Linked DNA regions of Rhinolophus ferrumequinum. The protein of the gene in region 2 interacts with the protein of the main gene of each other region in a pairwise test. Links are inferred from orthologs where the notes say so. Each region holds a gene or a part of one and is shown on either strand. Other genes may lie near its edges. The genes, in order: SNX11, ARL6IP1, SNX12 and NDRG4.

Region 1 (7,860 bases), on a different chromosome or scaffold from region 2:
CCCCACAGCTGCACAGGCTGACTCAGGATGTTTTCCGCTCCTTTGTAAAGATTCATTAAAGCCTAAGCCGCTGATTTCCCCCAATGTGGCAGTTTACATGTGCAGCCACATCGCCCACTCCGACAAGGGGACCATGAAGGTTGCAGCACGGGGTTACTCAAGTCCAAAGGGGCCCATGATGTCACCTTCTGTTAAAATACAGCACTAATCTTGTTACTCCTAGAACCACTCGAAAAGCATCCAACCTGGCTGCCACCTCCACCCTCTTCTCATCTCTTAAGAGCGGAACAATAAGGTTTAATTTCCCTTTCCAATTTACCTTGAAATGAAAACTGACTTCAGCCAATATGTACTGCCAACAAATGATCCGGGCTGGCTCCTGGGAAAACAAGACTATCTCTAAGATCTCCCTCTCCTCCCCCATGCCCATTCACACCCACTCATTCTTACAGTCCCACAATTAATTTTAAACACATTCCCTTATTAGTTCTGCCTTACCATTAGAAGAGTGTGTAATGAGTTTCCTTCTATTTTATGTTTAGCTAACACAAGGCTAACATTTCAAGAGAATGGAAACTCATTTACACCACAAAATTAGCAGAGCAAACAGCTTTTCCAATTCTTTCCAGTATACCAGAAGGTCTCTCCACACTGCACTCAGAGACAAAGCTGCATGGTATATGACAAAATTGGGCTACATCGTTGAGCAAACCGAAAGTTTTATGATTTCAATATCATTTTAAATAGCATTCTTGCTGACAATCTGATTTTTCATCTGATGCAGTCACCACTGCAAAGGGGTCTGAACTGAAAGGTAGGAAATTCCAATGCCATAACAACCCACGTATAAAATCCCAGATGTAAGCAGTCAAAGGGCTGTGGCCAAAAAGAGCAGGGTGACTCACTGTAAACAATGAACCTCCTCAGATTTAAAAAAAAAAAATTTCTCTTCTCTTTTCAGGCATTTGGTAAATTGCCAGCATATGAGCAGAGAGTTCGATTCTGAAGTGTTTCACAAAAGTAACGACAGGAAAGATGATGCCCAGGAAATCACAGTCATCCACAAACTCCGTGGAGCTCACCTATCTCCTGTGCCTTGAAAGGTTTGTCAAATTCAGGACTATAATTTAGTAACTAAAAGGTCATCACTCTCCTGGGCTCAAGAAGAGTTTGCCTAGGGCTCTGCACCACTTCCACGTGCAAGTTCCTCTCCTTTCCTTTGGGACTAATACCACTTATAAATAAATAGCTATAAATTGGCTTTAAAAAAAATCCTAGGACCTCCCAAGATGCTGTATACTTAAATGTAAATTTAAAGGGCACTAAGAAAGTTTCAGTTGTAACTTCTTAAAAACACTGAAACAAATTTAAAAAAAACCTAGATTCCAAGTAATAATTTCTAGCAACTACGTACTAATCTGTTAGCTTCCTCTCCGTAGATGCCACTCCTTGGAAGGAAATGAAGTTCAGTTCTCTGGAGGGGAAGGAGGAAGTTCTAAACTTCAGGATCTGAGAGATGGAATGGTTTATCATCTAAATAAAGATAGTCAGTGATTCTCTCAGCTACTTATGCAACTCAGAGCTAACTCCATTTCTTGGCTCTTGCAATCACATCTGAAGTTTACTTTCTCCACTAACATCTCCAAGGAGAACCCAGTTGTTTGCTGTTTACAAAGTAAATTCCTTGTAAAGCTTTCCAATCTTTTAACAATTCAAGGCTTTAGCTCCACCATTTTCGCTCCCATTTAAACTACTTCAAGAGACAGGTTAAAAACAAATCAGAGAACCATATGATTGCACTGATATGTAGTATATAAAACTGAAAACAACAAAAGAACAAGACAAACAAATGAAGAAACAAAAACTCATATAGACACAGACAATAGTTTAGTGGTTACCAGAGGGTAAGGAGGGAGGTGGGTGGTAGATGAGGGTAAAAGGGGATCAAATACATGGTGATGGAAAGAGAACTGACTCTGGGTGGTGAACAACAATGTGATGTATAGATGATGTAATACAGAATTATACACCTGCAATCTATGTAACTTTACTAACAATTTTCACGCCAATAGACTTTAATTAAAAAGCAAATCAGGTGATAAAAGTACATGGAGCTACCAAGACTCCTATCCCTTCTTAGTCATTGTTGAGCTCTTGGTGCCAGAAGGCAACTCAAAAATCTCTCCTTCCTAAACACCCACAGGTGGTACAGGAAGCTCCCCCCGCTGACCAAGCTCTGTGTGTTCTCAACCAAGCATCTCTGCTCCATCCTTTTGTCCCTCTGTAACTTGCCAATCCTTCCACTTGGAAGGTAAGTCGCAAAGTTGATCACAATCTAACGCAAGAGCCTCCCGTAAAATGCTTGCCATTACTCTTTGTCCTAGCCGTTTGAGTAAATGTCCCCAAACTCTTTTACTACAGCCACTCTCCTTCCATTCTTAACGAATGGAAGCAAAGGGCCACAATGGTCCTTCTTCTCCTTTGTCTATTAATCTTGGGGAGTGGGAAGGAAAGATGCTTTATATTCCTTTAAAAATAAATGGAAAAGCCACATTTCCTCCCTTGGATGCCGAGCAAGTACCTGCCTTTTTCCCGGGAGGTGAGACAGCCCTTAGGATGTCAAGCGAAGTGCCCACCCCAAGCGCGACTAATGACGCTAAAGTCCGTGGCCCTCACCTCAAAGCAGCACCCAGTCCCTGCGGCCCCGCCCACGCTTCTTCACCTGAGAGCAGCACCCACTCTCCACAGCGACACCGCCAGCACCTTACCATATAGCCAGTCGCAGCTTCTCCTTCCGGGTGAGTAGACGGTGCCCCGGTGCACGACGGGAGACGGCTCCCTACACGCCAATCCCGGGTGCCCAGGACGCCCCGCCCCTGCAGACCCCGGCTCTTAGTGGCGATTTTGCTCGCGGGGCGGCGCGCTGGGCCCAGCTCAGACCCTGGCTTCAGTCAGGACCCCGCACCACTTACTCCTAGCGACAGTGGGTGGACGCCGTGAGGGGTGGTCAGGGCTATGACGTCCAATCCAGGGCCGCGTCCCTCCCATCGTTGTCAGGCCAGCCAATCAGAGGCCAAGGAGCGTCTTTAAAGGTCTGAAAGAGGGACCTCCGGAGCAGAGCGGCATGAGGGGATTGTCGCCGGGGTTTTCATTCTGCAAAGCGCGGTCTTGAGTGTGGGAGGGTCGGGGCAGAAAATGCCCCCGTTCCTGGAGCCTCGTAAAGTCCCGAGAGAGCCCTCAGTTGCACCCCATAGGTTGCAGTTCCCCAGGGGAGTTATCAAGAGGACTTCAACTCAGGTTCGTAAAACCACAGACTATCAGAGCGAAAACCGGACTGAGACAGTTCAGCAACACACGTTTCACTTGCCGAAATGAGCCCAAAGAAGGATGGTGCAGCTCGTTCGTAAGAGCAATCCGTTGAATATGATGAAGGGTTTTTTTCATGTTGTTGAAATATCTTTTAACTACCAGTTTAAAGATGATGTTAGCAAAGATAATATCAAGGGAAAAGTTATGGTTATAAATACAAGCTCTGGAGTTAAGGTCACCTAGGTACTAACCCCAGCACTACACTGACTCTGTGGCCTGACGCTGGTCCTAAATCTTTGTAAGTCTTAAGTTTCTTCATCTGTAAAGTGGAGATTACTGCACATACCTCAAAGCAGCTTTTCTCAAACTTGTTGGTCTCAGAATCCCTTTACGATCTTAAAAATGATTAAGGATTCCACGAGCTTTTGTTTATGTGGGATATTCACCAAGTTAGAAATTAAAATTGAGAAATGAAAAAATATTTATTACTTCACCTAAAACAATAATAATTATTACATGTTAAAATAATATATTTTGTGAAATACAACTACACCAGAACAAAAAAAAAAATTTGAGTAGTGTCATTTTATTACAATTTTGGAAATCTCTTTAATGTCTGGCTTAATAGAAGACAGCTGGATTCTCCTATTTGCTTCCTCATTCTCTATTGTGCTATGTTATTTTGGTCTAGTAAATGAAGAAAATCCTGTCTCACACAGATTTTTTAGCCTTCTGCTATAATTGTGCATACCTTTCTTGGATACCAGCAAAACTCAACAAATGGTCGTTTCTTAAAGGTTAGTTACAATACAGAATCTGAAACAATTTGAAAAATATTGGCTTACTAAATTATGCAGATCTTCCAGATATTGATGCATTATATTATTCAATATTTTAAAAATCCTATTTCTTTTTTTTTTTTTAGATTTTATTGGGGAAGGGGAACAGGACTTTATTGGGGAACAGTGTGTACTTCCAGGACTTTTTTCCAAGTCAAGTTGTTGTCCTTTCAGTCTTAGTTGTGGGGGGCACAGCTCAGATCCAGGTCCAGTTGCCGTTGCTAGTTGCAGGGGGCACAGCCCACCATCCCTTGCGGGACTCAAACTAGCAACCTTGTGGTTGAGAGCCCGCTCCAACCAACTGAGCCATCCGGAAGCTCAGCCGCAGCTCAGCTCAAGGTGCCGTGTTCAATCTTAGTTGCAGGGGGTGCAGCCCACCATCCCTTGCGGGAGTCGAGGAATTGAACCTGCAGCCTTGTGGTTGAGAGCCCACTGGCCCATGTGGGAATCGAACCCGCAGCCTTCTGAGATAGGAGCATGGAGCTCCAACTACCTGAGCCACTGGGTCAGCCGTTTTCTGTCATTCTTTCAAATAAAAACATCCCATGAAAAAGAGCAGCTAATTCAACTCACACATCTCAAACAACTGCACAACCATCTACTTCAGTAAGCAGCAGAAGGGCTTTATGTACATCTTCCATTTCATCACATATTACATTAAAAAGTCATATACTAACCAACTGAATGGGAGAAGATTCTTGCAAACAGTGCCTCCGATAAGAGGCTAATATCCAAAATATACAAGGAACTCATGAAACTCAACAACAAAAAAACAAACAACCCAATTGAAAAATGGGCAGAGGAGCTGAAGAGACATTTCTCCAAAGAGGACATACAAGTGGCAAATAGACATATGAAAAAATGCTCATCACTAATCATCAGAGAAATGCAAATAAAAACCACAATGAGATGTCACCTCACCGCAGTCAGAATGGCTATCATCAACAAGACAAACAGTAACAAGTGTTGGAGAGGCTGTGGAGAAAAAGGAACCCTCATACACTGTTGGTGGGAATGCAGACTGGTGCAGCCGTTATGGAAGGCAGTGTGGAAGTTCCTGAAAAAATTACGAATAGAATTACCATATGACCCAGCAATCCCTCTCCTGGGTATCTACCCAAAAAATCTGAAAACATCTACACATAAAGACACGTGTGCTCCAGTGTTCATTGCAGCTTTGTTTACAGTGGCCAAGACATGGAAACAACCAAAATGTCCTTTGATAGATGAATGGATAAAGAAGTTGTGGTATATATACACAATAGAATATTATTCGGCGGTAAGAAAAGATGATATAGGAACATTTGTGACAACATGGATGGATCTTGAGAGTATAATGCTAAGTGAAATAAGTCAGAAAAAGCAGAGAACCATATGATTTCACTGATATGTGGTATATAAACCAAAAACAACAAAAGAACAAGACAAACAAATGAGAAACAAGAACTCATAGACACAGACAATAGTTTAGTGGTTACCAGAGGGTAAGGGGGGTGGGGGGTGGGAGATGAGGGTAAGGGGGATCAAATATATGGTGATGGAAGGAGAACTGACTCTGGGTGGTGAACACACAATGGGATTTATAGATGATGTAATACAGAATTGTACACCTGAAATCTATGTAATTTTACTAACAATTGTCACCCCAATAAATTTTAAAAAAAGACAAAGAAAATTAATGTCAAAAAAAAAGTCATATACTCTAGGAAAGAGATTTCATAAAGTTAATAATTTGTACTGCTTCATGAAGGATAGCCTTAAGTGAGAGTGGCTTATAATTCTTTTTTTGCATAGGTGTGCCAGTAGAGAATACTCTATCTAGTATGTTGGTGCCACACTGCCTTGATTCATACAAAGGTGCCAGCAGTTTCACTCACTGTTGCTTCTCTACCACCAGTGCAAATGTCAACACATGAAAAAGAACAAATAATGTCTTACTATCATGAAAATTTTGACCATGCAGACTCCCTCAAACCATCACAGGCACTTCAGAGTCTGTAGACCACACTTGGAAAACCCCAGAGTATATCTGCAGAATGTATCCATTCATTCAAATATTTATTGAGCCCTTTCTATGGGCTGGGCACTGTTTTAGGCATTAAGAATAAAGCAGTGAGCCAAAAAGGAATATGTCCTGACCTCCTAGAGCTTATATTTTAGCATCATCCATCTGGAATATTAATAAATGCTTTTAAATAAATTCATTTATAATTTGAATGTAATATATATTTCACAAACAAGTGGTGCCCTATCTCGAGCTTATGTTTTCAACAATTTCTAACGTTTGATAATGGAGCCAATCCTTATCATAGCAGAAAAGTTAGCAAATGATGTAAGTACCTCTCCAAGCAGGGATCCCTTCTTTTGAGAAAACCAATCAATGTCAGAGCTATGGGTGCATTATTTGACAAGTGTATGTTTTAATTATAGTCCATTAGTACCTGGAAGTCACTTGAGAATCAGACCAACAAAGGAAGGTAAGAGAAACAGCTCTTAAGTATATATTTGCCTTTTAAAAGAGATTGCGAGTTAACTGCAAATGAATAAATCTTTAACAACAGAATTTCAAGTAGTAATCAAAATCAAACAAAGACTCTCACACCCATTAGGATGGCTAGTATTTAAAAAAAAAAAGAGTTGAGAGGATGTGGAGAAACTGAAACCTTTGTGCACTGTTGGTGGGAATGTAAAATGGTACAGCCACTGTGGAAAACAGTATGGCAGTTCCTGAAAAAATTAAAACTAGAATTACCATATGATCCAGCAATTCCACTTTTGGGTATGTAACCAAAAGAATTGAAAGTGGGGCCTCTTGAAAAGATATTTGTACACACACATTCATAGGTAGCAGCATTACAATAGCTAAAATGTGGAAGCAACCCAAGTGTCCAACAGTGGATGAACGGATAAGCAAAATGTGATATATTCATACAATGGGATATTCTTCAGTCTAAAGAAGGAAATTTTGACACATGCTACAACATATGTCCATATGAACCTTGAGAACATTTTGCTAAGTGAAATAAGCCAGTCACAAAAAAATAAATACTAAATGATTCCACTTAAATGAGATACTTAGAGTTGTCAAAATCATAGAGACAGAAAGTAGGACGGTGGTTGCCAGGCTGGCAGGAGGGAGGAATGGGGAGTTATTGTTTAACAGGTATAGAGTTTCAGTTTTACAAAATGAAAAGAGTTAGAGATGGGTGGTGATGGTTGCACAACATTATGAATGTATTTAATACCACTGAACTGTACACATAAAAATGGTTAAGGTGGTAAATTATATATATATATGTATGTATGTTTACTACAATATTTAAAATTGGGGAAGGAAATGAAACAAAGAATTTGACACAGTGCAGAGGAAAATATTTTCAAAGTTCTATACTTCCCCACTTCTTAAATCACATCTCAGAAGCAGCTGTCTACTATACCTAAAATGGCTATTGTTTTTTGAGTGCCAACTATAGACCATTCTTTTTACACACTACTGTTAATCCTACAGAAATGCTGCAAGATAGGTCTTAAATAATATTTTCATGTTTTAGATTTTTATGGAGGCTGAGGATAAGAGAAGTTAAGCAGCTTGTCCAAAGTTACACACAACAGGCAAATCGTAGAGACAGAATTGAATCCAGTTCAGCGGGATTCCAAGTCCTTCTTTTTTTGCAACATCGCACTTCCTTCCCCACATTACTTGTGATTTTAG
Region 2 (7,945 bases):
CAAAAATTCTAGGTGCTAGAATGGGAACAAGGTAGTCAGCCAAGCACAAAAACATAACAAAACTGGAAACACCGGACAGAACAGATGGATCGAGATAGTAGATAGTCCTGTTTAAAAAAAAAAAAATGAACAAAGGTTAGAAAAACATAGCCATTATTCCTAAGTGTTTATTCACTTTGTCCTCTGGTTCTCAAAAATGTTATTTTGCCCTTTTCATTCTAATTTTCTCACACATGGTTTTCTGGAAGCTTCATAACATCATACATAGCTGCAGTGTAAATACCAAGAGACAAAAGCTCTTTGGGATCTTCAATACTTTTTAGGAGTGTAAAGGGTTCTAAGGCCAAACGGTTTGAGAGTCACCGAGTTATTCAACTGACTTAGGTCACCAAGTTTATGGAAGTACTACAAATTCTGCAAACTAGGCAAACGGCTCAAAGAAAAGGCATTTGTTACAGATTACACATTACAAAAGACTTAAGGCTCCTCCATAAACAGAGGCTGTGTATTACCTAAGCCCTTATTAATAACAAGCACAACCTTAAGGAACAGAAAAGCTCACTTACAAAAACACCAAAGAAACCACGCCCATAGTGGCAGGTGGAAACCAGGCTCTTTCCCACCGCAGGACTTTATCAGCCATCAGCATCACTTCTCCCCATCCTTGCAGCTGCTCTTCCAGACCTGCAGTCTCTTCCGCCTACATGTGATCAACATTTAAAGCCATCATTTTACTACTCTCAACATTTCTGTGGTTCCTAAAGTTAAATTCTTGTAAGGCACCAAGTATGTAAAATAGCTGTTAATCAAATCACTATCTTAAACAAATTAGTTTCTAAAATACTCTACAATGTTGGTACCAATGACAAAAACCAACGGAGGAAAAAAGCTATCATTTAACGGTCACCTCCCAAGTCTAAGAACTGGGTTACTCTTTTCAGGTATGATGCAACATAATCCTCATTGAGCCCCTCAAGGTAGGGATAATTACCCCCATTTTACAAGTAAAGAATGGTTAACTAACTCCCCCAAAGTCCTGCCCTAGGAAGCAAAGTATCCAGAGTATAAAATTAGATCACTTTATGTTCGTTCATTTCGGGTGGTTGGAATTGATCTGTTGTCTTGTCATTTCATTGATTTAAACCCCTACTTCTAAGTCCATTAGGAAAGCCTTTCCCTGAACAGCACTCAGTTTCCAAAATAGCTCTTTGTGTAATGGAATCATTTAGATGTTGACATGATTTGCACATTTAAGAAAAACTACTTTCACCAAAATATATGACTCATTTTAAGCTCAATATATCACCTCTATAGTGCTTCTCACGTTTATCAGGACATTTTGGTTAGACTTCAAATTTCTCTGCTAATCTGACAATCAGCTGCAAGTGGACTTGTAGGATGAGCTAATGTGGCAGAAAGTCCTCTAGCTGATTTTGACAGAGAAAAAAACATTGCGACAAGATACCCATGTGTCCTTAAAAAATGTTATCACAGGGAAATGTGCAAATGACAGCAGCCAGCGCAGCTTAATCTTAATGAAAGATGCTCTCTGTGCCACACTGATCACCTAGGGGACCTCAGTATTTCTGACTTCCCATATCATGTTTAATAAATAAGAGATTACTATGTGAAAGAAACTTGACTAAGTATTTTACACGCTTACACTTTAAACGTCCCAACAAGCTAAAAGGAAGGTGTTACTATCCTCACTTACAGATGAGGAAACTGTAACAAATACACAGACGTTAACAGATCTGAATCCAGGAAATCCAAGGCCAAGAGCCTTGTCCTCCCGAAAAGTCACACTGCTCTACCGGAAAGAGTCCTGACCTGGGGTAACTTCTCTGTGCTTTGATCATCCTCTAAAAAGGAACCTGGCTGGGGCTAACTATGGGGGGGCGGGGGGTGTAAGGAAGTCATGCATTTCTGTGTGTGTGTATAAAGGGGTAATTCATGCATTTGTATTTGTGTGTGTGTGTGTGTGTGTGTGTGTAAGGGGGTAAGTCATGCATTTCTAAAAATGAATGCAAAACGAATATCGCGCGAACCGCCCTGCAAAATCTCTTAATTCGTCAGCACCCGGGCTCTTGGATAATCAAAAGCCCAAACTTAAATTCTTTGCTCCCTCTATTCACTGTGATTGTGGTGTGCAGCTGCCTTTCCCTGGAGAAAGGCAACGGAGAAAATGCACGGATTTCTCTCGGTTTTGCCTCCATCGTGCCATGAAAATCGTAGTGAGGTCAAACTTGTCCGCCTGGGATACAACCAACCTCACTCCAGTGCCTTCGTACCCCTGCTTATTCTAAAGTCGTCCTGCGACCCCCAGACTTACACATTCCGGACAGACGCCTGGACCTCCCACTGTCCTGCCAGCCGTACCCCACTCCCAGTTCCCCAGGGTGAGCTCGCAGCCTTCCTGCCATTTCAAGCTGTGCCAGTTCTAACCGAACTTCTCGGCAGCGGCCCTTTGACCCTCCACCCCTGCGCAAGTTTGGGGCAAAAGAACGAAGTGGCATCCCGATTAAGGTCAAAGAGAAGGAAACCCGCATACGGCTGGGGCCTAGGCCCTCGGCCCCGGGCTTGTCACAGCCCCCCTTTGCCCACTTCCTCAACCCGTATTCGCGGTGACTGGTCACGCACCCTCCTCGCTCCTTCGCGCACCTTTTCCAGAGAATGTTAGGGGACGATACGACTGGCGACCGCCACGCAGGAGCTTCCCAAGAAGCCCGAAAGGGCAGGCGTCGCCGCCTGCGCCTGGAAACCGGGAGAGGGCCAGGGCCGCGGCGCCGCCGGCTTGAGCCTAACACAATACAAAAGCCTCACTCCTTTTCCCTTGCGTCGCGGCGCCGGGACTCACCAGCAGGTTGGTGCTGCGATTATCTCCCTCCGCCATCGTCCCCGAAATACCGCCTCACCGAGCACAAACCGCCCTCCGAAACAGCCTTCCTCCGAGACCCAAAGGGCGACCCCGGCGCGAGGACACGCCCCGCAAGCCGCTTATATAGGCCGGCCGCCTTTCCCGACAGCCCCCGCGAAGCTCGCTCCTCATTGGGCAGCGCGAGCTCAAGCTTAAGGGGAGCGGGACCAACTGCTGCCCAGCGCATGGCTTGAAATCGAGGTCAAAGGAAAGCGAGGCTGCGCAGGGCCGAGGGGGCGGGGACACAGCATGACCAATCAACGCACAGGAGATGCACGATGCCCCGCCCAGGCGTTTCGGAATCTGTTGAACGACCGCTGACCCGGGCTGGACTGGGCCTCAGTATCCCCAGGGTTGGCTGGCACGGTATGTCTCGGAACTTCTCCTGAAATTTAGTTCTCGAAGAAATATGCTACCCAGTATCAGGCGGAGAGCAGAGATGGACATGTTTTGCTAACCGCGCTGTAATGAAAGGGGCCGTCTGGGATCCTCTGCCCGACCAGGCAGTGCCCTCACCCTCGCTGTCCCCCGGGGTTTCTTTTTATTCCTGCTCTGGTCACTCTAGCCATGCCACTGACCAGTCTAGCCGAGATTTGCGACTCGGAGACTCGTGCCCACTTCCTGAGGTTTCGAGGACAATGGGAAAGAGCTATTTATGTAGATTTTCTGCATTTTTTCCTTCCTATTAGGGAAAAGGCTTTAGCTTGATTGGGAGGGATGTAGCGGGGTGATCGGGGTCATACTTTGAGGACTCATGGAAGATGCACCGGCTTTAAAGCTGGCTTATTTACAGGGGGTCTTTTGGAAAATTCTGTGTGAAGCCCTTGAGTTGCTTATGAAGCTACCAGGTTCCTCTCCAAAAAGGACTGCTTTTGACCACCTTACAACTAGAGGTCATGCTAACGTGTCAACTCGCATCAGCAGTGGAATTCATAAGCAATTGAGTAACTAGATGAACTGAGCTGTGCTGAGGCACTTCCCACGCCTTCTCTCTCCAGAATTTCAAAATGAATTAAGTGCTTCGATTTTCGTTATTCAAACAGAGGCATGCCAAATGTTGACCTGGTCAGATGTCTGTTTTAGGAAAACGTAGCATAGCTTTTTAACGTTTTATAGTCATCTAGAATATGCGATCGAATTCAAATTTGTTTTACAAGCATTCCTTACTACCAGGTTGAGAGTTCACAGAAGGCAGAAAAGAAATGTGAGGCAACGGTAGCTACAGAACACATTCCACCCTGAAGAAAGCCAGGGGGACAGCAGCATTGTGAATTTCAAGAAAGTCTTTGAAAAATAAAGCAACTGGATCAGATATAAATACTTGGTGGGGGGAGACTTAGCAAGGGAAGAGGGTCTTCAATAAAGTAATACTTTGGAGGTGTTGGGGGGCAGAAGATGGGTTATGTAGGTAAGATGCAGCAAGTTGATCTAGCGACCCCATTTTTAAGCTATGAAGTTTAAGGGCCCAGCCTTCCCCTACCTCTTCAAAATACGATGAAAGGTCGCAAACAGCAGCAACATAATTAGTGAATACATTGAGCACTGAGAGCACAATTTTGCGAAAGGCACAGTAACATCCACTCCCAAAGGACAGGCCCTAGAGTTATTAGGCTTTAAAAAGTGACAAAAAAAAAAAAAAAAAAAAAAAAAAAAAAAAAAAACCCCACACAAACAACAAAATGACATGTCTGTTTTGGGAAATCAGCTTTTGCTACAGAATACTTCTGGTTTTCACCCAAGTTCCCTATGTACAACTTAAAGACAACTTTTCAACACCAGCTTGTGAAATTGAGGTAGGTGGAAAAAATTAAAGCAACTCCAGCAGCACTTGCTTCGGGGAGTATTTTTTCCTTCCTCGAGGAATGTGTTCCCAGGACTAGATGCAACTTCACAGCCTAGGGGCACTGCCATCAGGTCTTTAAACTTCTAATTGGCCTAACTGAAAAAACACCTACCCTTAGTGTAGCTTCCTTTTGAGCTTGGTTTTTGTACTACAAAAACAGGATGTGATCTTTTTTTAATGTTTCCAATATGACCTTTATTGAGCAAGGACTGCTGTGACGTTTAACATCAATCAATGAAAGGCTGCAGACTGTGAATGTCAACAAGGTTCTCCCATGAACGGAAGTCCATTTTAAATGCACCAGTGAGGTAAACATAATTATTCGTACATAGCTTTCTTAAGGCTAAGAGAGTTCTGTTTCATTTGTTAGTTTTGGCTCAGTTGGTTCTTTGCATAATACAGCTCAAGACATGCCCCCTCTGAGTGGCCCCCCCTTCCAACAGTTTAGGAAATTGGCCAATCACTGAGCCGCTCAGGATGTGATCTTTTGAAACCTGCCAGATGACTAAACCGTTAACATAAATCCTAACACAATCTAGCAACAACAAATGCAGTCTGATTTCCAGACATTAAAACAAGCTGGACGTTTTACTTTTCCTTCAGAGCTTTCACACCCCCAGGAAATGTACACATCAATAATGTTCTATAGTTTTGTTTTTAAATGTTAAACAAAATTAAGCTTAATAAATTGTGCCTTAATACCAAGAACTCCCCCGTTGAAGTAAAATTTCTACTGCTGTTCAAAAGTACTATATAGAACTTTAAGGGTAGAACAAATTACTTTTTTGAGAAGTTGAAAAAGTTTTGGCGGTATTAATGCCTTTTTTTAAAAAAGCTACCCATATTCCAAAATTAAGTTCTGGAAACTACTTCAAGCAATAAATTCAGAGCTTAAATGCTATGTCTTTTAAGAGTTTATTTTTTGAAAAACAGGTATTTCATACAATCTTTGCCATGTCGATGCAAATATGCACAAAATAGGCAGGTATTTTGTTTTCCAAAAGATGCATTATGAACATTTTCAGGAAGCTGGTGTGATTTATTCAACTTTTAATCTTAAATACAATCACAGAATGATATCCGTCAGGAGGCATGACCACCTTGTGTACAGAGAAGCCACTTTATTTATACAACATTTACTAGGACAAGATCCAGTTCAACTCAATTTGCTCTTATAATGAGGGTAAATTAACAAGGGAGTGATGATGAGGTCACTGGCATTACAGATGGAAATACAAGGCATAAAAATTTAAACCAGAAAAACAACTGACACAAGAACTTGAAACAGGAGCTGAACCTGGGACTGTTCAGGAAAAGGAAAACAAAAATTCAGCCAGTTTTCAAAGAAAAACGTTCTACAAGTCTGCATTTCAGAACATGAAAGTCCTAAAGTTGACCAGCTTCCAAAGTCCTAAAGAGCTAGTAGTCGTAGTATGACGTTTTCACATTAGCACACCAGAGAGCTGTTCCCCACTTAAGCTCCGCCAAATTCCCATGGATGGCAAACGACTCCGAAGTAGGTCCCACTGTACAACCAACCCTGGAACCTGAAAAGCTGCTCTAAAGTGGAGTCCATCTGCACGTAAGGGACGGTGATAGTGTTACCCAAGCCTAGAAAAAAGTGCCACAAACCCTTAGGGGTCACAGCAAAGTGAACTGTCCCTTCCCCAAGGTTCAGACCAATTTGTAATGCTAGTCTTTTCTCCCATAGAACGAATCTTTCTAGTACAACCCAAATATTGAAAACAGAGGCTACCTTCTTGAAGTGACCCTCACATTGATATATTGTAGCTCCTTGATTTACGGAGAAGGAAGTTGTAGCTTTAACTTACTGGCACTTTACAAGTTCAAGATACAGAATAGAATGGAAGGTCCCTGGTGTTCAGTCATCTAACTTTACCTAAGACAGAGGTTCTTAAATGTGCTAATAGTAAAGAATCCGCTGATTTCTGATGTAGGTGAATAGGGCCAACTGGCTAATTGTAGGCTAACAGGCTTTCTTTAATGTGAAAAGAAGGGGGAGAAAAGCAGGAGGAGCTGGTGACTGCCAAAACAAGGTAAGCCCCCGGAGTAATTACACGTGTGTGGAGGAAAACAGGCCAGGAAGACTCTTCAGTTGAAAGTACTGCCTATAGTACAAGAAAGACTGAACGTTAACTCTAATATTTGGCTGTACTTGCATTGCCCTGCGGGGCATTTTTTAATGGCTCTTTCCTTAAATTTCACACGACAGAACGGGCACGATTAAACAACAAAAACAAAGCAGATAACACCAAACACTGGACAATATGAAGAAAGCTACATACTAAGCTTAGGTAAGAGAGGCAAGTGTTAAGGGCAGAAGTGATGGAGGTTTTTCTTTGTATCAGAAGCCCTCATCCGGAACCTGGGGCTTGGGCTCTGAAAAGAAGCCATGTGGGCAAGCAGATCAAGAGCTGGGTTATCAGTTCTCTCACATATCTCAAAAAAAAAAACCACAAGTGTCTGACACAAAAGAATCTTAATCATCTAGCAAACTATGTTAAGAACTCGATCAGAAAATAAGGAGGTGCTGCAAGACACACCAAAGAAACAGAGAAATACAGTTCCACGGCCTCCACAACTTTGTAGAGGAATCAACTAAAATTCAGGGCATTCTAGAAAACCGAAGACAACAAAACATTTAAGATAAACCAATTTCCAAGGGTACTTTGAGTTGAATTAGAGGTTGTAGGTTATTCTGTACCCCCTGAATCTTAGAGAAAAGAGGAAGAGAGGAGCAGATCCCTGGTTTTCCACAGGTATTTTGTATCATAAAAAGTGTGTATGACTTCATAACCACAGCACTCTAAACTTGACATTACAAGATAATCCCCCCAATACAGCCCTGACTGCTCCATCTGCTCCATCACCAGGGCCTTTTATTGCTGATTACATCTGTCAAGTTCTCTTACAACAGTTCAGAACGGCAAGGCTACTTACAGGCTGACTTCCAGAAGAGGCCCAACTGTACAGACTCGGCGGGTCCCATCTAGAGCGCACTAAAGAGCGTCTTAGAGGTCATCCATTGTTCACACCTGCCCCACAACCAAACGTGTACATGCCACACTAGTCTGAGGGACCCTTTTAAAAGAAAAGTGACGGATGATTTCCCAGAGGCAAAATATACAGCTATTGATATACAGCTGTTTTGTTTTTGCTTGGAT
Region 3 (6,958 bases), on a different chromosome or scaffold from region 2:
CCACCGCCATTCTGTAAACTTCCTCCTTTGACTCAGATTCTTTCCCTATCCCCACAGGATGCTGACAGTTAATGGCCTGTCATCTCAGCACCTACTGTGTTTCCCCGAAAATAAGACCTAGCTGGACAATCAGCTCTAATGTGTCTTTTGGAGCAAAAATTAATGTACGACCCAGTCTTATTTTACTATAAGACCAGGTATAATACAATATGATATAATACTAGGTCTTATATTAATTTTTGCTCCAAAACATGCATTAGAGCTGACTGTCCGGCTAGGTCTTATTTTCGGGGAAACACGGTAGCCATCTAAGGAAAGGGCTACTATGCACTAGGACAGTCTCCCAGCTCCAACCTACAGATCACCTGAGGAAGACAGGATTGTGTAGTACAAGATATAGAGTCCTTGGGCTCTGACCAACACAAAGTCAAGGAAAAGGAGAGAAGAAGCAAAGTTCAAGTCCAAAGGACAACTGACATTTGAAAATTTCCATACACATCATGTGAAGTCACCAGGACACCTCTCCAGACTCCTCATTTCTTGGGGGGATGGGAGGGGGAGAATTCTTTCCTGAGCAAAATGAAAGAGAACAGCTTCAGAAATAGCTATTATACAACGTCAAGAGGCATCTGCTTCTGCCATTCATAATGCCTGACGCCCAAAGCCCATTCTCTGAATCTCATGCTCCCTATAAGGCCTACTGTGACCACTTAAAGAAATTTAAAACTAAACGATTTTCACCAATTTTTCCGAACATAGTTGAAAAAAATGTTAAAAGCCTATATAGATGTATATATGTATGAACATGAACAATACAAATGAACTCCAAACCCACAGAACCAGGAACTGCCACCAGCCCTGTCATCACTACGCAATTGGAAATTGTGGAAAGGACTGATGAAAAGCTTAGTGGGCAGAAAAATTTTGTACGCTTCAGTTTTGCAACTAAGCATAGCCAGAGAGACTGAAGCATAGTGGAAAGAGTATGATGGGCTTTGGAGTCAGACAGGCTTGGGTTCAAACCCCAGCCCCGCCATACACTAGCTTCGTGTACTTGGGCAAGTTCGTGAAACTGGATTCCTCTTCAGTTTCCTACCTGTAAAATGGCATTTTTCTAAGGGTTTAAAAACTAAAACCTGGTTTAGTGCCTGGCACACAGCAGTCACTGTTGTTAGAATGCCTGAAGTAGAGAGCGATCTCATTCATAATCCCTAAGGCCCTTCGGCAGTGTCCCCAAAGCTCCCACAGCGGAGTCCTTACATTGAACAAGTTATGGCCAGTCCTCCCCAGGTAATTACGTTCTGTACCAGTAAATGTTCCCAGCCTTTATGATATTTTGAGGGCTCTAACTTCCATTCTTCCCCAAAGAGATGATTTCAAGTAGTTCTTATCTATGTAGGTGAGTTTTTCTCATTTTTTTCTATTCATTTTTCTTTCTTCAGTTTGGGCTTTGCCAAACTTGGAATTTGGAGGCCATCATTTCGCAATTAGATTTCAATGCCCAGGGAGGAGCACATGCTCTCATTCATTCATTCAAAAATGAAAGCACATACACTCTTTTAGGTCTTCAAATGCTGTTTGAGCAGCATGCTGTCCACAGAGAATATTCTGGCCCTCTAGTCTGAGAAGAAAACATAAGGAAAATTAGAAAATGGTTCTCAAACTTTTTTGCCCGTAACCACTTCGACTGGGCAAAAGAACCTGCAAACCATGTATGCTGTCTGCACATTCCATCCTTGCACTGTGGACTAAGAACTGGAGAATAAAGTCCTCTGTAGTGTACACTGAAGAAGCCACTCCTGGGGCAATCCTGAAATGTCATATACTAAAGTAACTAGAGACCAGGGTCTAAATCCAAATGGTTAATCTAGGACAGAAAGGGCCAGTGGTCATTCATATACAGGAAACCCAAATGAGAGCCAATAAATACTGAAATAAGCATTCTGGACACTTGGAATCTAAAGGATAAGCACAGGATGAGAGAGCAACGACTGACAATCCACCAATCACAGTGGAAGGCCTGGTTTCACAGTGAGACACAGCGTGTGGTATCCGAGAACACCTAAGCAGAAAACACTTCTCTCCTTCAGATGCTAATTCTACACCAGTCTGGGAAGCACTCAGTCTCCAGGAGACTCCCTTTCTGATTTCGCTCCACCGAGCCCACTGTCTGCCTTTCCTGGAGTCTACCTTCCTTCCCTTTAATCAGGCTTTGCCTAACTCCATCATCCTAGGGAGGGAGACCAGACCCCCTCGGGAGAAGCCGGGCCGGGCCTTCCTGGCCTCTTCACAGTGACTTCCCACCACCCAGTTTAGTTAGGGGCCTCAGCGACATCTCGCCTCGGCTTTCCATGCCCCAGCCCTCTCCCCACTTTCCCTTCACTCCTTTGGTGTGACCACTAGTTCCTTGAATTCCTTCCTCCGATCTTGTCCATCGTCCCCACCCTATCCGGCCATGCTTCACTTCTTGCTCACGGGGACTTGTTTGCTCTCACCCGGTCTGATATCCCCCTCAGGAGTTTTGTGGACCCTCGGCCCACAACCCCGTCTGAAGACCTCTCCCCAAACCTATTCAGCCCCGAACCCCCAAAGGACCCCTTCAAGCGTCTTCACTGTTCGTCGCTCCTGTGGCAACCCCCCCCCCCCCGCCCTTCCCGGCCCGTCGCCAGGTCCTCCCTCAGCTGTCTCCCTCACCCCGTGACTCACCCGCATGCGAACCTCATAGGTGGTGAAGCGCGCGCGGCCCACGCCCACCGTCTGTGGATTAAAGATGTCGATCTCCAGGAAGTTACTTGGCGGCCCGTAAGCGTCAGTCAGGTCCTGCGGCTTCGAGTTAAGGCGCCGAGTGTCAGCTACGGCCGTGTCCGACATCTTTCCGAAGGAGAGACCGAGGCCGGGACCGGGGAAGGGGGGGTGGGGGACAGAGGCCGGAGGCAGGAGCGCGCGCGACCCCTCCCGCTTGCAAAATAGCCAGCCAACCTACAGACTGCGGCGCCGCGCACGCGCGCCCACGCACGCACGCACGCGCACGCAGGCGCCCCGGCCTCGGGCCCGGCACCCTGTATAGCGGCCACGCTGACGGTTGGGAGTCCCGTACCGCGAGGCCTCATTCAGGCTTCCGGGCGGTGCTTGCGGCTGCCCCGGAGCCTGCATCCCCGTACGTGCCCCCCGTATCCCGGGAAGCACTCCAGCGGGATCCGCCAATCGCTGCTCCTCAACCCAAGAGACTGTCTTACACCGTGTAGCAGTCAGCAGTGGGCACTGCCCTGCGCGCTGGGGTCCGACAGCGATAGGCCGAAGCCCCGGGACCTGAATAAGTAAGGTTCTGCGCGAAAACAGAAGGGGGGCCTCATTGTTGGAATTGTGAGGTTCCAACAATGGCACTGAGAACCTAGAACGAACGCAGCCCTGCCACTCGTGCCACTGATAGTTTCAATTCACTCCACACGCAACTGAGCAATCAGTGTGCGTTGTATGGTATCACGAAAGCAGCGAGGATAGCGTAACGAAGATGACTTCTCATTCTCACTTCTTGGGAAAATTTGGGCATATCTTCATCCTCCACGTGTGGCCTCATAAAACTGAAGCCAAGGTGTGCTCAAATACAGAAAACTGAGGGCATTTACTTCATACCTTCTATCTTCACTCTGCAGAACTCCATACTTGACACTACTCTGAGGTTACCTGCAGCCTGTAATGGAGATAGAATATATGTCTACGTGAGAATGTCTATAGAAACATGAATATATGACTAATTTACACATGGCCCACATGAGGGGTAGTTTTAAATCATCCTTTTTCCCTCCCCACACCAGCCTTCTGCTAAAAAAACGAAATATATATATATATATATATATATATATATATATATATCCCATATCACTGATGGCTGAAATTCTTTCAACAGAGTACAGGCTCTATAATTTCAGAATTAGGTTATTTAATTCCATATAACCAATATCTACCAAGCAACTACTTATGTGCCAGGCACCATACTAAGCACTAAAGCCCTAAATTTGAATAAGAGAGTCACTACCCTCAAGGAGTTAACACTGTAGAAAGAGAGACAGGTACATAAAATGAATATAATGTGACAAATACAAAATAAACGAATATTCAAAGCACCACATAGGACATGAATGACTTGGAGGAATTAGGGAAGGCTTCCTGGAGGAGAAAACATCTGAGTTTGACAGACATGAAACACGTAAAGGACAAATAAGAGGAAATGGGGAAATGTAATGTTTTGCAGAGGGAATAACGTATGCAAAGCCATCCCGGTAAGATACAGCATGATATTTTTAAGCAATTATCAATTCTGACAGGGTATGTAATAGAAGTGCTTAGAGAGACAGGCTGGCTGGAGATGGGCAGATGAGGGTGATCCTTCTATATTAAGCTCTGGCTTTATGATGTAGACCACTGAGCCGTCTTCAACAGGAAGAAGCCATGATCAGATCTGTGTTTTACAAGGATTATTTTGCAGGCAACGTGGAAGATACATTTGAGTCGAATGTAACTAACCATGAGAATAACGTGGAAGATACAATTGAGTCGAATGTAACTAACCATGAGAGTATCGCCAATAACACTTGGAGCCGGGTGGTATGGTGGGAATGGAGAAAAGGGAAGAGATGGGACTGAGATGGAAGAACTAAAGTAGATAGGACTTGAATCTGATTAGATACAGTGGCAGTATAGCATAGGGCTAAAGAGTGGGAGCGATGCACTTAGGCTGCCTGGGTTTAAAAGCCCTACTTCCTAGTTGTGTAACTGTGACCAAGTTACCCAAACAGTTTCCCTCATCTGTAAAATGGAAATAATAACACTAAAACCTACCTCTGGAGCTTTTGCGAGAATTCAGTGAAATAAAATATGCGCAAATAGTAAATGTTCAGTAACTATTAGCTATTATTATTACTTGAGGGGAGAAGGAGGACATTGAAAATGACCCCTAGTTTTCCGATTTTGGTAACTAGGTGGATGCTGGTACCACCAAGCAACATAGGAATTACAGAAAGAAGAGTGACTTCGGGAAGGGAGACAATGAGCTCAGTTTGGAGAAATCTGAGATGTCTGTAGGACATCCAGGTGGAGATGTCCAGCAGGCAGCTGGAAATACTGGCCCGGAGCTCTAGGGTGTGACCAGGGTTAGATAGAGATTTGAGCGTCATCAGCATGTGTGGAAGCAAGAATGTGAAGAGGCAAGCAGAGGAGATTTCAAATTGTTGAAGGCAGGCAGGGTTGCTGAGAGTGTAGATCAGCTCAGTTGGTTGGAGTGTGGTGCTGATGGCACCAAAGTTGCCATTTCGATCCCCGCGTGGGCCACTGTCAGCTGTGCCCTCCTTAAAAAAAAAGCAAAACACTGTGACCTCAAGAAACTTGTAATACTGGTTGTCTCTGGAGAGCAGAACCGGAGAACAGAAGTCAGGGACAGTAGGGAGAATTTGTTTTCATTTTCTTCTCATTTAAGTACTTTTATATTTTAAAAACAATTTTACTGTTATTGATCAAAACTTTTGACTCAAAAATTTCACTTCCAATAATTTACCCTGAGAAAAGAATCAGATACTCACATAAAGATACCAGAATATGGATCTTATCTTTACAAGTAAATAATTGTTCATTTTATACAACGGAATATTTTTGTAGCCACGTTTTTCTCATTTGTGAATTTATTTATATGAGAAGTCTTACAAAGGAGTACTGGGTTCTCTACTTTACGGACGTTGTATCTCAGTCACTTCCATCATAAAACTCTGTCTCTTGTGTAAATGGCCAAATTCAGGATTCTCCTATGTGTCCATTTAAAATAATGTTCTATGCTCATTGATGTGGAATGATGCCCATACAAAAGTGAAAAAAGCTGGTAAAACTATCATAATATAATACCATTTGTATTATTGAACATGATATATCTACATACAATAATTTTTAAAGACTAGATGGATACAAATCAACATGTTAGCAGTGGTTACCTCTGTGGTGGGGTTTCAGTTGGATTTTATGTTTTTATTTAGGATTTTTTAAACAATGAACGTATGTTGTTTTTTTAATTAAAGAAATAAAACTATTTCCCTTTGAGAAAAGAAAATTAAAGGACAGGGCCAGGAAGAGAAGCCTGTGAAGGAGAGCAGGAAGGAGTGGTCAAGGAAGGAGAAAGAGAACCAGGAGACAAGAATAAGGAGAAAGAGAACCAGGAGACAAGAATGAGCTGAAGGGGAGGAATAAACAATGTTTCCAAACGAGCAAGTAGGTGGTTAACAGTGTTTTAATACAATAGAACAGTCAAGTAAGATAAAGCCTGAGTGACGTCCACTAGATTTGACAATGACCTACATGAGAACAGTTTCAGTAGAGCACTGGAGATAGAACCCAGATGGCAGGACACCGAGAACTAAACCGGGGCAGAAGTGGAAACATTTAGTAGAGACTGTTCTTTTGAGAAGCTTGCCTAAGAAAGGAGTGTTGTAGCTAGTGGGCAATGCAGTGTCAAAGAAGGATTTGTTTGTTTGTTAGAGTGTTTATAGCTGGGGGAGGTGGGGGGATTTCATGGAAAGTGAGAAGTTGAATATACAGGTAAGTAAAGGGGTAAGGCTTAAAATCAAATAGCCCGGAGGGAATTGTGCAAGTTAAATTCACAATGAGGTGTGAAGGGGTTTTTTAAAGAGAAAAATGTGATAGGGTGGAGAGAGGAGAGTAGAGGGTACTGGGCTAATTAAATCCTTTGCAGTAATAACAGTGACAGCTGCTACCAGCTGGTGCACGCACGCGCGCGCGTGCACACACACACACACACACACACACTTTTGCTCTTCACAAGAGGCAAAGAGCTTCACAGTTACCAAGTGATGTTGGGCAAGGCAGAGTTATCCTTTGTACCTCAATTATCACACCAAAAAAAAAAAAAACCGCTGACTCAAATCTCTTGGCAAACAAACAGGTAACATCAGAACTT
Region 4 (7,607 bases), on a different chromosome or scaffold from region 2:
AGAAATTGGAGGCTTCTGAGAAATTATTCTGGAGACACAGCTGATGGGTGGGCTATGTGAGGCTGGACTCAGTCAACAAGTACTGAGCACCTGCTGTATGCTACCATGGGAAACTGGCCACCACCCTGACTGTGACCTGTTTATCACCAGCAGGAAGATGGGTCAAAATCTCACAGATGCGGCCGGCCCGGTGGCTCAGGCGGTTAGAGCTCTGTGCTCCTAACTCCAAAGGCTGCTGGTTCTATTCCCACATGGGCCAGTGGGCTCTCAACCACAAGGTTGCCAGTTTGATTCCTCAACTCCCGCAAGGGATGGTGGGCAGCGCCCCCTGCAACTAAGATTGAACATGGCACCCTGAGCTAAGCTGCTTCCCGGATGGCTCAGTTGGTTGGAGCACAGGCTCTCAACCACAGGTTGCCAGTTCAATTCCTTGAGTCCCGCAAGGGACGGTGGGCTGCGCCCCCTGCAACTAGAAAACGGCAACTGGACCTGGAGCTGAGCTGCGCCCTCCACAACTAAGACTGAAAGGACAACAACTTGAAGCTGAACGGCACCCTCCACAATTAAGATTGAAAGGACAACAACTTGACTTGGAAAAAAGTCCTGGAAGTACACACTGTTCCCCAATAAAGTCCTGTTCCCCTTCCCCAATAAAAAAAAAAAAATCTCACAGATGCATATGAGCAAGAATAAAGATGGGTGGGGACATATCCGAACTTCCTAGCAGTCAATCAGCCAGGGAACATGAACACTATTACAGGACAGTCAAGATCAAGGAGTCCGAGAGGTGCCCACCACCCAGGACCCAGCCAGGTGTGTCAGCTGTGCTATCTCAGCGAGCCTCACACCACCTCTCAGAGGGAGGGCTCAACAGTTCCATCTCTAAGATGAGAACTCTGAAGTTAGAGAGGTTAAGCAACCTGTCTGAAATCACACAGCTGCCCAGCAGTGGGGCTGGGACTTGAACCCAGATCTGTGGGACGGGAGGAGTTTGAAAGAGGGAGATGGCTGCAAAAACCACACGACAGCGACTGGGGATGGCCTGGTGAGAGGTGCAACTGTGATCAATGACAATGAAGAAGGGGTGCTGTTCCAGCCTGGCTGGGGCTGAGAGAGTCGGCCAGAACTGAGAGAGGCGGTCTGATGAGGGAGGAAGGGCCTGTCTGAACCCCCTGGGCCCCCACTGGAGCCCCACACATGACGCTTGCGAGCATTCCTCCCCCAGGCTCTGCAGGGCGGGAAGAGGAGGAGCGGAAGGATCCAGGAGCTTGGTCGCGCATGCAAGGTTATAAAACCCACTGGGTTGGAAAACCTTTCCTTCAGGGGATTAACAAGTTCAGTGCCCTGTGCAATCCCCTTTGAAGTCAGGTGGGTGAGCTGGCTTCAGGGGGCTCTACAAGGAAAAGTTGGCAAGGAATTGCAGGGGGTGCCAGCCTGGTGGCTACCTGGGCACCGATCTGGCACTTCTGAGCACCTGGCAGTTTCCAGTGCCCCACTTTCACCTCACTAGAAGTCTGCCACCAAACCAAGGAGCGGCCAGCCTGCAACCTCACCCCACCTACTCCCCAAACACACACACACACATGCACACGCGTGCATACACATACATACACACACGCACACACACACATGCACACACGCACACACACACACACTCTCTCCAGGCCCTCCAGTCTCCACTTCACATCACTCCCAGTTCAAGCCTCTCACACCCCAGGGCCTCTGCATATACCAGTCCCTCCATCCTTCAGCCTGTAATGCCACCTCCTTCTCCATTAATAGAAATCTTATCTTACAGGGTCCAGTTCAAATGCTGCCACATGCTCAAATCTTTCTGCTCCCCTCGTGTCCCCCACTCCGACGCCAACCTGTTTCCTGAGTGCACCCCCACACTGCTGCCCCCTTTTCTGTCTTGTAACAGGGTCCTGTGCTCTGCTCTCCTGCACCAGATGGTAAGGCAGAGGTCAGGGACCAGACCTCTTGAGTGCCAGAGGACAGTGCTGGAATCCACGTGTCCATCCAGGACACACTGAGCACCGCCACCACCCAGGCACTGGTGGGGTCCAGACTGCGTCCCTTTCCTAGCCCCCGTCCTCCTGTCCGAGTCTCTCCACACATCTTTCCACAGAATCTGCCTGTGCAATTCGCCCTTTGTGCCTGGGAGCGCGTGCCCCACCCTTCGAAGCCCTGGCCCAGCGACCTTGCTCCTCCCTGCCTCCTCCTCTTGGCACATCCAATGTCCGCTGCTGATCTCCAGTCTCAAGGCCCTGGATGTGGTTTCCACCATGGGGTCTGGCCACTTCTCCAGGGGGACCCAAAGCTGAGGGGCCCCAGTCATCAGGGTCCCATCTGGCTTCCCACTTCCCAGGCCTCTCCTCTCAGCAGTCAGCTTCTCCTGGGAGAAGCGCTCAGACTATCTCTTACAGGGAGCAGGAATAAGAGGCCATGGCAGGCGCTCTGTCGGGAGCTCCTTTCTTTGGGGACCGAGTGACACTGACTGGAGGACAGGGGTTCTAAACTTCCTTTCCTCTTTTGTGGACCTGACTAGAGCTTGGCTACTCGGAGACACCGGGGGGCCGCTCCCCTGACCAGAGCTCCCGCCACACACGCTCTACCCACCGGGACGCCGGGGACTCAGAGAGCAGCGCAGGGCGGGGCCGGGTCCCGCACAGGCTAGGAAGCAGCGGGCGTCCGCACCCCTCCGCCAGCTCGCACCCGAGCCGCCCCACCCCCCGCCACCGCTCCCGGCTCGCGCTCCAACTAGGACAGTGGCGGGCGGCGAGGGCCGGTGGTACCTGTCAGCAGTTGGATCTTGTGCCCCAGCACCTTCATTTCGGCGCCTGGCGCTGCCCAGCTCCGGGCTGCGGCGTCGGGGAGAGCAGCGCGGAACGCGAGGCGAGAAGCAGCCGGAGAGGGAGAAGCGGAGCAGGAGCAGCAGCCAGCGCCAGGAGCGCGCTTGCCGCCCCCCACGCCGCGCTCCCCCCTCCAAAACGCTTTTAAAAAATCCACCAATTGCACGACCGCGCACCCCTAAAAGGCGCCCGCTGCCACCTGGTCGGGGTGAACTCCGGGAGGCGGAGGGAACGCAAGGGGTGGGTGCGGGGGCCACTCGGGGGCGACGGGAGGAGGCCGTGCGCACGGCGCTGGAACAGAGGCCCTGCCACCCGCGGGTGTCGCGGTGGGGGAGGCGCGGGCGGCGGAGGGGCCGTGGCCTCGGGGTCCCCGCTTCTGGCTGGGAAGGCGACGAGGGAGAGCCTGGGCGCGCTAGAGGCGGAGGGGGTGCGGCCCCGGCGACAGGGAACCGGCTTGCGGGTCTGGGGTCGTGCGCTGTGGCTGCGCCGGGACGGGGGCTGACCGAGGCCGCGGTGGCCGGGGGACAGGGACGAAGGGCCGAGGGCGGCGCCAACTCACCGAGGGCGACGTGAGCGAGGACTAGGCGCAGGCGGGGAGCGGGGCCTCGCCGCCAATGCGCGGGCGCGGGTGGCTGCAGCCCCAGGCCCCTCGGTCGAGCGGCTGCGGGGGGCGGAGGCCCTGCGAGGGCGCGCCCACGTGGGTGTGGTGGGCGTGGGCGCGGGGACGCCGGCGGAGCCTGCAATGGGGACTGGTCCCGGGAGGCCGTCCTGGGAGCTCAGCTTCCGCCTCCCGCCACCGGGGGAGTTCCCGTGGGTGGGCAGGCGGGCGAGCTGGACGCCGAGACCCCGGAGCCTAGCGGAGACCCTCCGGTTCATCGTGTCCCCCGCGTCCTCCACTCCTTACCTCCCGAAGGCTCCTGGAGGAAGGGTCCCCGCCGCTGGGACTCCTCGGGTGGTGGTGGGAGGCCCCGCCCGCAGATACGGTCCTCTTGCAGCCGGGCGGCGTCGTGCTCCCGGGGGAGGGGGCGGCTTCCGCCTCAGTCTTTGTTTAGATTCCCGAGGGGAACCCCAGCCCGGAGGAGGCAGCACCCCACCCCACCCCACCCCTGCCGCCGCCTGGGAACCACTGGGGAAAAGCCCTGGGGGGTCAGGAAGAGCCAGGCGCTCAGGCACCTTTGGGGCGTCTTCACCCAGTCTTCAGAACCCCAGGGTTTACTTGGGGGACTCGTGTGGGAGTGACTGTCTCCAGCAAAGGTGTCTGGGCCCTCAGCCCCACCCCTGGCCCCCTCCCTTGTGTAGTAAGGCACTTGTTCCGCTCAACTCACCTCCATTATGTGAGCGGGAAAGGTAACTGGGAGATTCGTCTTCCTCAGGTTCTGGTCTGGCCCTGTGGCGTTGCTCCCACTTGTCACCCCAAAGGAGGGAGCGCAGAAGTCCCTGGATGGAGTCCTAATGCAGGGAGAATGGAAATCTGATGACCTGAAAATATTTACTTGGACAAAACAGTTTAAGAGGAGGGCTCCTGGGGGCTGGGGTTCTATCCAGACTCTGTGAGGGACCTTGGACAGGTCTCTGCCCCTCCTGGATGCCAGCCTTTTACCTATAGAGTGATTGTGTTGGACCAGGTCATCTGGGAGGTCCAGGAAGGCAGTGGAGTGGGAGGTCTGGAGGATCCTGAAGAGCCTGCCCCCACCTGCTCACCTTCATGGGACCTTTATCTGGGCTGGTTTGTGGTGAGACCCCAGCTTTCCTTCAGCTCCAGGCTGTGGGGGCAGCTGCTATGGCATTGAATTAACGGAATCACCAGTGTTCCTTGAGAAAGTTTGTGATATTTGGTGGCTCCAGATGGGGTGCACGTTCCTGCTTGGGGTGCAGTATATAACCACATAGGAGGCAGCAAGCTCGGGTTCTCCTTACAGCTCTGGGGCTCACCTTGGGGAAATCCTGGCCTCTCAGTTTCCTCTTTTGTAAAGGGGATGGGGGAGGTCAGTGGTGATAGAGTGAACTGCTATATCCAAAACATCCAGGAGCCTGGTTCTGTATATACAAGTTGGAGCGAGTCCTTAAGAACACAGGCTGGTTCTACAATTTCCTGGCTGTGTGGTATCCAGTAAGTTACTTACCTCTCTGAACCTCCATGTCATACCCAGTGAAATTGGAATGATGCTGACCTCAGAGGGTTCCCGTAAGAATTAAATGATGGAACATAAAGTGCTTAGTACAGTGCCAGGCACATGGCTGAAGTGTTCAATAGACAGTCGCTATTATTGATGATAACATTATAATTATTGCATTAGAGATTCTCTCAGGCTTTCCTGAGTCCTACCCTTCTCAATAATTTCAAACTAGTCATTAAACAAAACAAATTGTTGATGTTCTAGTAACATAATTCATGAGGTCTGGCCTTTTCTGAATTGCTCGGAGGAACATAGGCCTGGGGAGGCTGCCTAACAAGAGCTTTGAAACAATGACACTTCTGTCCATGTGTGGAATGGTGTCTGCCATGGCCTTGAACTAATGTAGACAATCCATTTGGCTCAGATAAGCCATGAACTCCACGTGAGCATCCAGGTGGGCCAGGTTGTGGATTTGAACCCTAAAACTGGAGATTTAACAGATGATGAAGAAATGTGGTTGTAAGAACACCTCCCTTCTTGGGGGGAGGGTGGCGGCGCTACTGCAGCAAGCAAAGGTGCTCAGGGAACAGGCAGGTAGAGGCGCCCTGGCCCCTTCTGGAGGAGTCAGCATGCCTAGCAATGAGGAGTCCCCACTGAATCAGCAGAAGGGCCAGTTCTCAGTCCCTCCTGCTCCTGAGTGCCTCCTCCCTATGAGGGGGCACGGGTTCGGGGTAGGCTGGATGGCAGGATTTTCAACAGAGGAAAGCAGAGCGTGTCAGAGGGCCAAGCTGTTGGCTGGGACAGGGGGCCTCTAAGACATGTCCCCCAGCCTTGTTCCTAATTAGCTGAAAGATGCTGCCCAAGTCACTGCCTCCTCTGGACTTCCCTTTTCCCGTTTGTAAAACAGGCAGGAGACTGGCCTGCACCTTGGCTGTAGAGGAGACACAGCCTTTCGGAAGACCTCTCCGAGCCTTCATTTCCCCATCGGGAAACTTGGGCTAATATACCAGGCTGGATAGTTGCAGGAAATAATGGACCTACTCTGGCTAGTTAAAGAGTAAAAGGGCTTTGATAAAATGAGGGCAGGCAGCTCTCAGGATCTCAGGAGCCAGGCCCAACACTGCAGCATTGGTCCGGTGTCAAAACTGCTGCCATCTCTGGGCACAGCCAGCACCACCCCAGGGCAAGGACACTGGACGCTGCCATCGGGCTGCCTCTGAAGCCTGAGGTGGTGCTGTGGCCACTGCTGCATCCTTGCCGGTATGAATTCTGTGTGGTCTTGGCTTCCTCAGGTCACCAGTTTCTAATTCACAGTCAAGAATCGGTGTGTCTACATTTTCAACAACATGGATGGATCTTGAGACTATTTGCTAAATGCAATAAGTCAGAAGGAAAAGGACAAAAATTGTATGATTTCACTCATAAGTAGGCTGTAAAACAAAAAAAACAACAAATGAACAAACAAGACAAACTCAGATACAGACAACAGAATGGTGGTTATCAGACGGGAAGGGAGTAGAGGGAGGAGAAAGATGGCAAAGAGGGTCAAATATATGGTGATGGAAAAAGACTCGGCTTCAGGTGGTGGGCAGATGTCATAATAGAAAGCTGTATACCTGACATTTTTATAATGTTATTAACCAATGTTACCCCCTCAAAAAGGGCATGTCTGATTGGAGGCACCCAGATCAGGTACCCTGCCAAAGCTGCAAGGGAGGCAGGGCAAAGGTGTTCTCAGGTCTTCTAGTGGGAGGTGGGCGTGTCAGATGCTGGCGGCCAAAAAAATGACCGTGCTCACTTCAGATAACAATGGACTTGTTGTGAAACTGCTACGAGATGACGCACATGGGTACTTAACTTGGAGCCGGCATGGAGGGAACACGTGATCCCTGGTTCTGAGATTCATACCCCACTGCAAATCCTGTGTCAACAGGCGGAGCTCCTTCATGCTTTAGTCTTTGATTTTTCAGCAGGTGAAAGACAAAAGGACCTTGAAACCAGTATGGCGTGCTGCCCTTTCAGATACAGAGGCAGCTCTGGTCCCGTTGCCAGGAAGACAGGTGACTGGGTTTTTCCATTGTGGTGATGAATTGGGCTGAGTCACTATTCCTCTCCAGTTCCCTCGTGACCATGACTGGGAGCAAGTAAAAAGAGCTAGAGGTGGGGTCAGGGGTGCAGATGACCCTGGGGCCATAGAAGCTTCTCTCAGCAGAGGAGGATAAGGCAGAAACTGTCCCCCCTCCACTGACACTCCCCCACTCACTAACCATGAGTCAAATGGCCTCAGGGAGAGAAGAGTGGATTCTGTCTCTTCTTTTATAGGATTATTGGTTGAGTGCCTCGTTGGTGCCAAGCCCCTTGCTGTGGGGTGCAGTGGAGAACCACAGCTGACCAGGGCATCAACCTTGCCTTTAAGGTTTATGCACAGATGGAGGAAACCAACTTAGAGTCCCATAATCTAGGTCCTGGGCAGACGCTGATAAAATATGTAATTGAAGTTACTATGCAGTATGATGGGGGCCTGGAGGGACCAGCAAGGGCTTCCTGGAGCCTTTGAGTGGTGGGAAGTCAGTAGATGGAGATGAGAAAGGGGGTGATTGGGGGAGAGTGCCATCCATCCATCCATCCATCATCCATC

The links.
Region 1: the proteins of ARL6IP1 (region 2) and SNX11 interact in binary tests that used the Homo sapiens proteins (3 or more experiments, as listed by UniProt). The two-hybrid records come from large-scale screens. The link is inferred for Rhinolophus ferrumequinum from reciprocal best matches to the Homo sapiens genes ARL6IP1 and SNX11.
Region 3: the proteins of ARL6IP1 (region 2) and SNX12 interact in binary tests that used the Homo sapiens proteins (3 or more experiments, as listed by UniProt). The two-hybrid records come from large-scale screens. The link is inferred for Rhinolophus ferrumequinum from reciprocal best matches to the Homo sapiens genes ARL6IP1 and SNX12.
Region 4: the proteins of ARL6IP1 (region 2) and NDRG4 interact in binary tests that used the Homo sapiens proteins (3 or more experiments, as listed by UniProt). The two-hybrid records come from large-scale screens. The link is inferred for Rhinolophus ferrumequinum from reciprocal best matches to the Homo sapiens genes ARL6IP1 and NDRG4.

Annotation. Positions count from the first base shown.
Region 1 is NC_046304.1:34,898,227-34,906,086, forward strand, and holds the start of SNX11 (sorting nexin-11), read right to left. Parts: upstream 3,006-7,860; 5' UTR 2,772-3,005; coding exon 2,677-2,771; intron 380-2,676; coding exon 320-379; intron 1-319. UniProt on the Homo sapiens protein: Phosphoinositide-binding protein involved in protein sorting and membrane trafficking in endosomes. Regulates the levels of TRPV3 by promoting its trafficking from the cell membrane to lysosome for degradation.
Region 2 is NW_022680357.1:14,985,302-14,993,246, forward strand, and holds the start of ARL6IP1 (ADP-ribosylation factor-like protein 6-interacting protein 1), read right to left. Parts: upstream 3,011-7,945; 5' UTR 2,894-3,010; coding exon 2,858-2,893; intron 701-2,857; coding exon 567-700; intron 108-566; coding exon 1-107. UniProt on the Homo sapiens protein: Positively regulates SLC1A1/EAAC1-mediated glutamate transport by increasing its affinity for glutamate in a PKC activity-dependent manner.
Region 3 is NC_046284.1:1,884,668-1,891,625, reverse strand, and holds the start of SNX12 (sorting nexin-12), read right to left. Parts: upstream 3,011-6,958; 5' UTR 2,872-3,010; coding exon 2,707-2,871; intron 1-2,706. UniProt on the Homo sapiens protein: May be involved in several stages of intracellular trafficking.
Region 4 is NC_046298.1:10,731,263-10,738,869, reverse strand, and holds the start of NDRG4 (protein NDRG4), read right to left. Parts: upstream 3,009-7,607; 5' UTR 2,833-3,008; coding exon 2,796-2,832; intron 1-2,795. UniProt on the Homo sapiens protein: Contributes to the maintenance of intracerebral BDNF levels within the normal range, which is necessary for the preservation of spatial learning and the resistance to neuronal cell death caused by ischemic stress.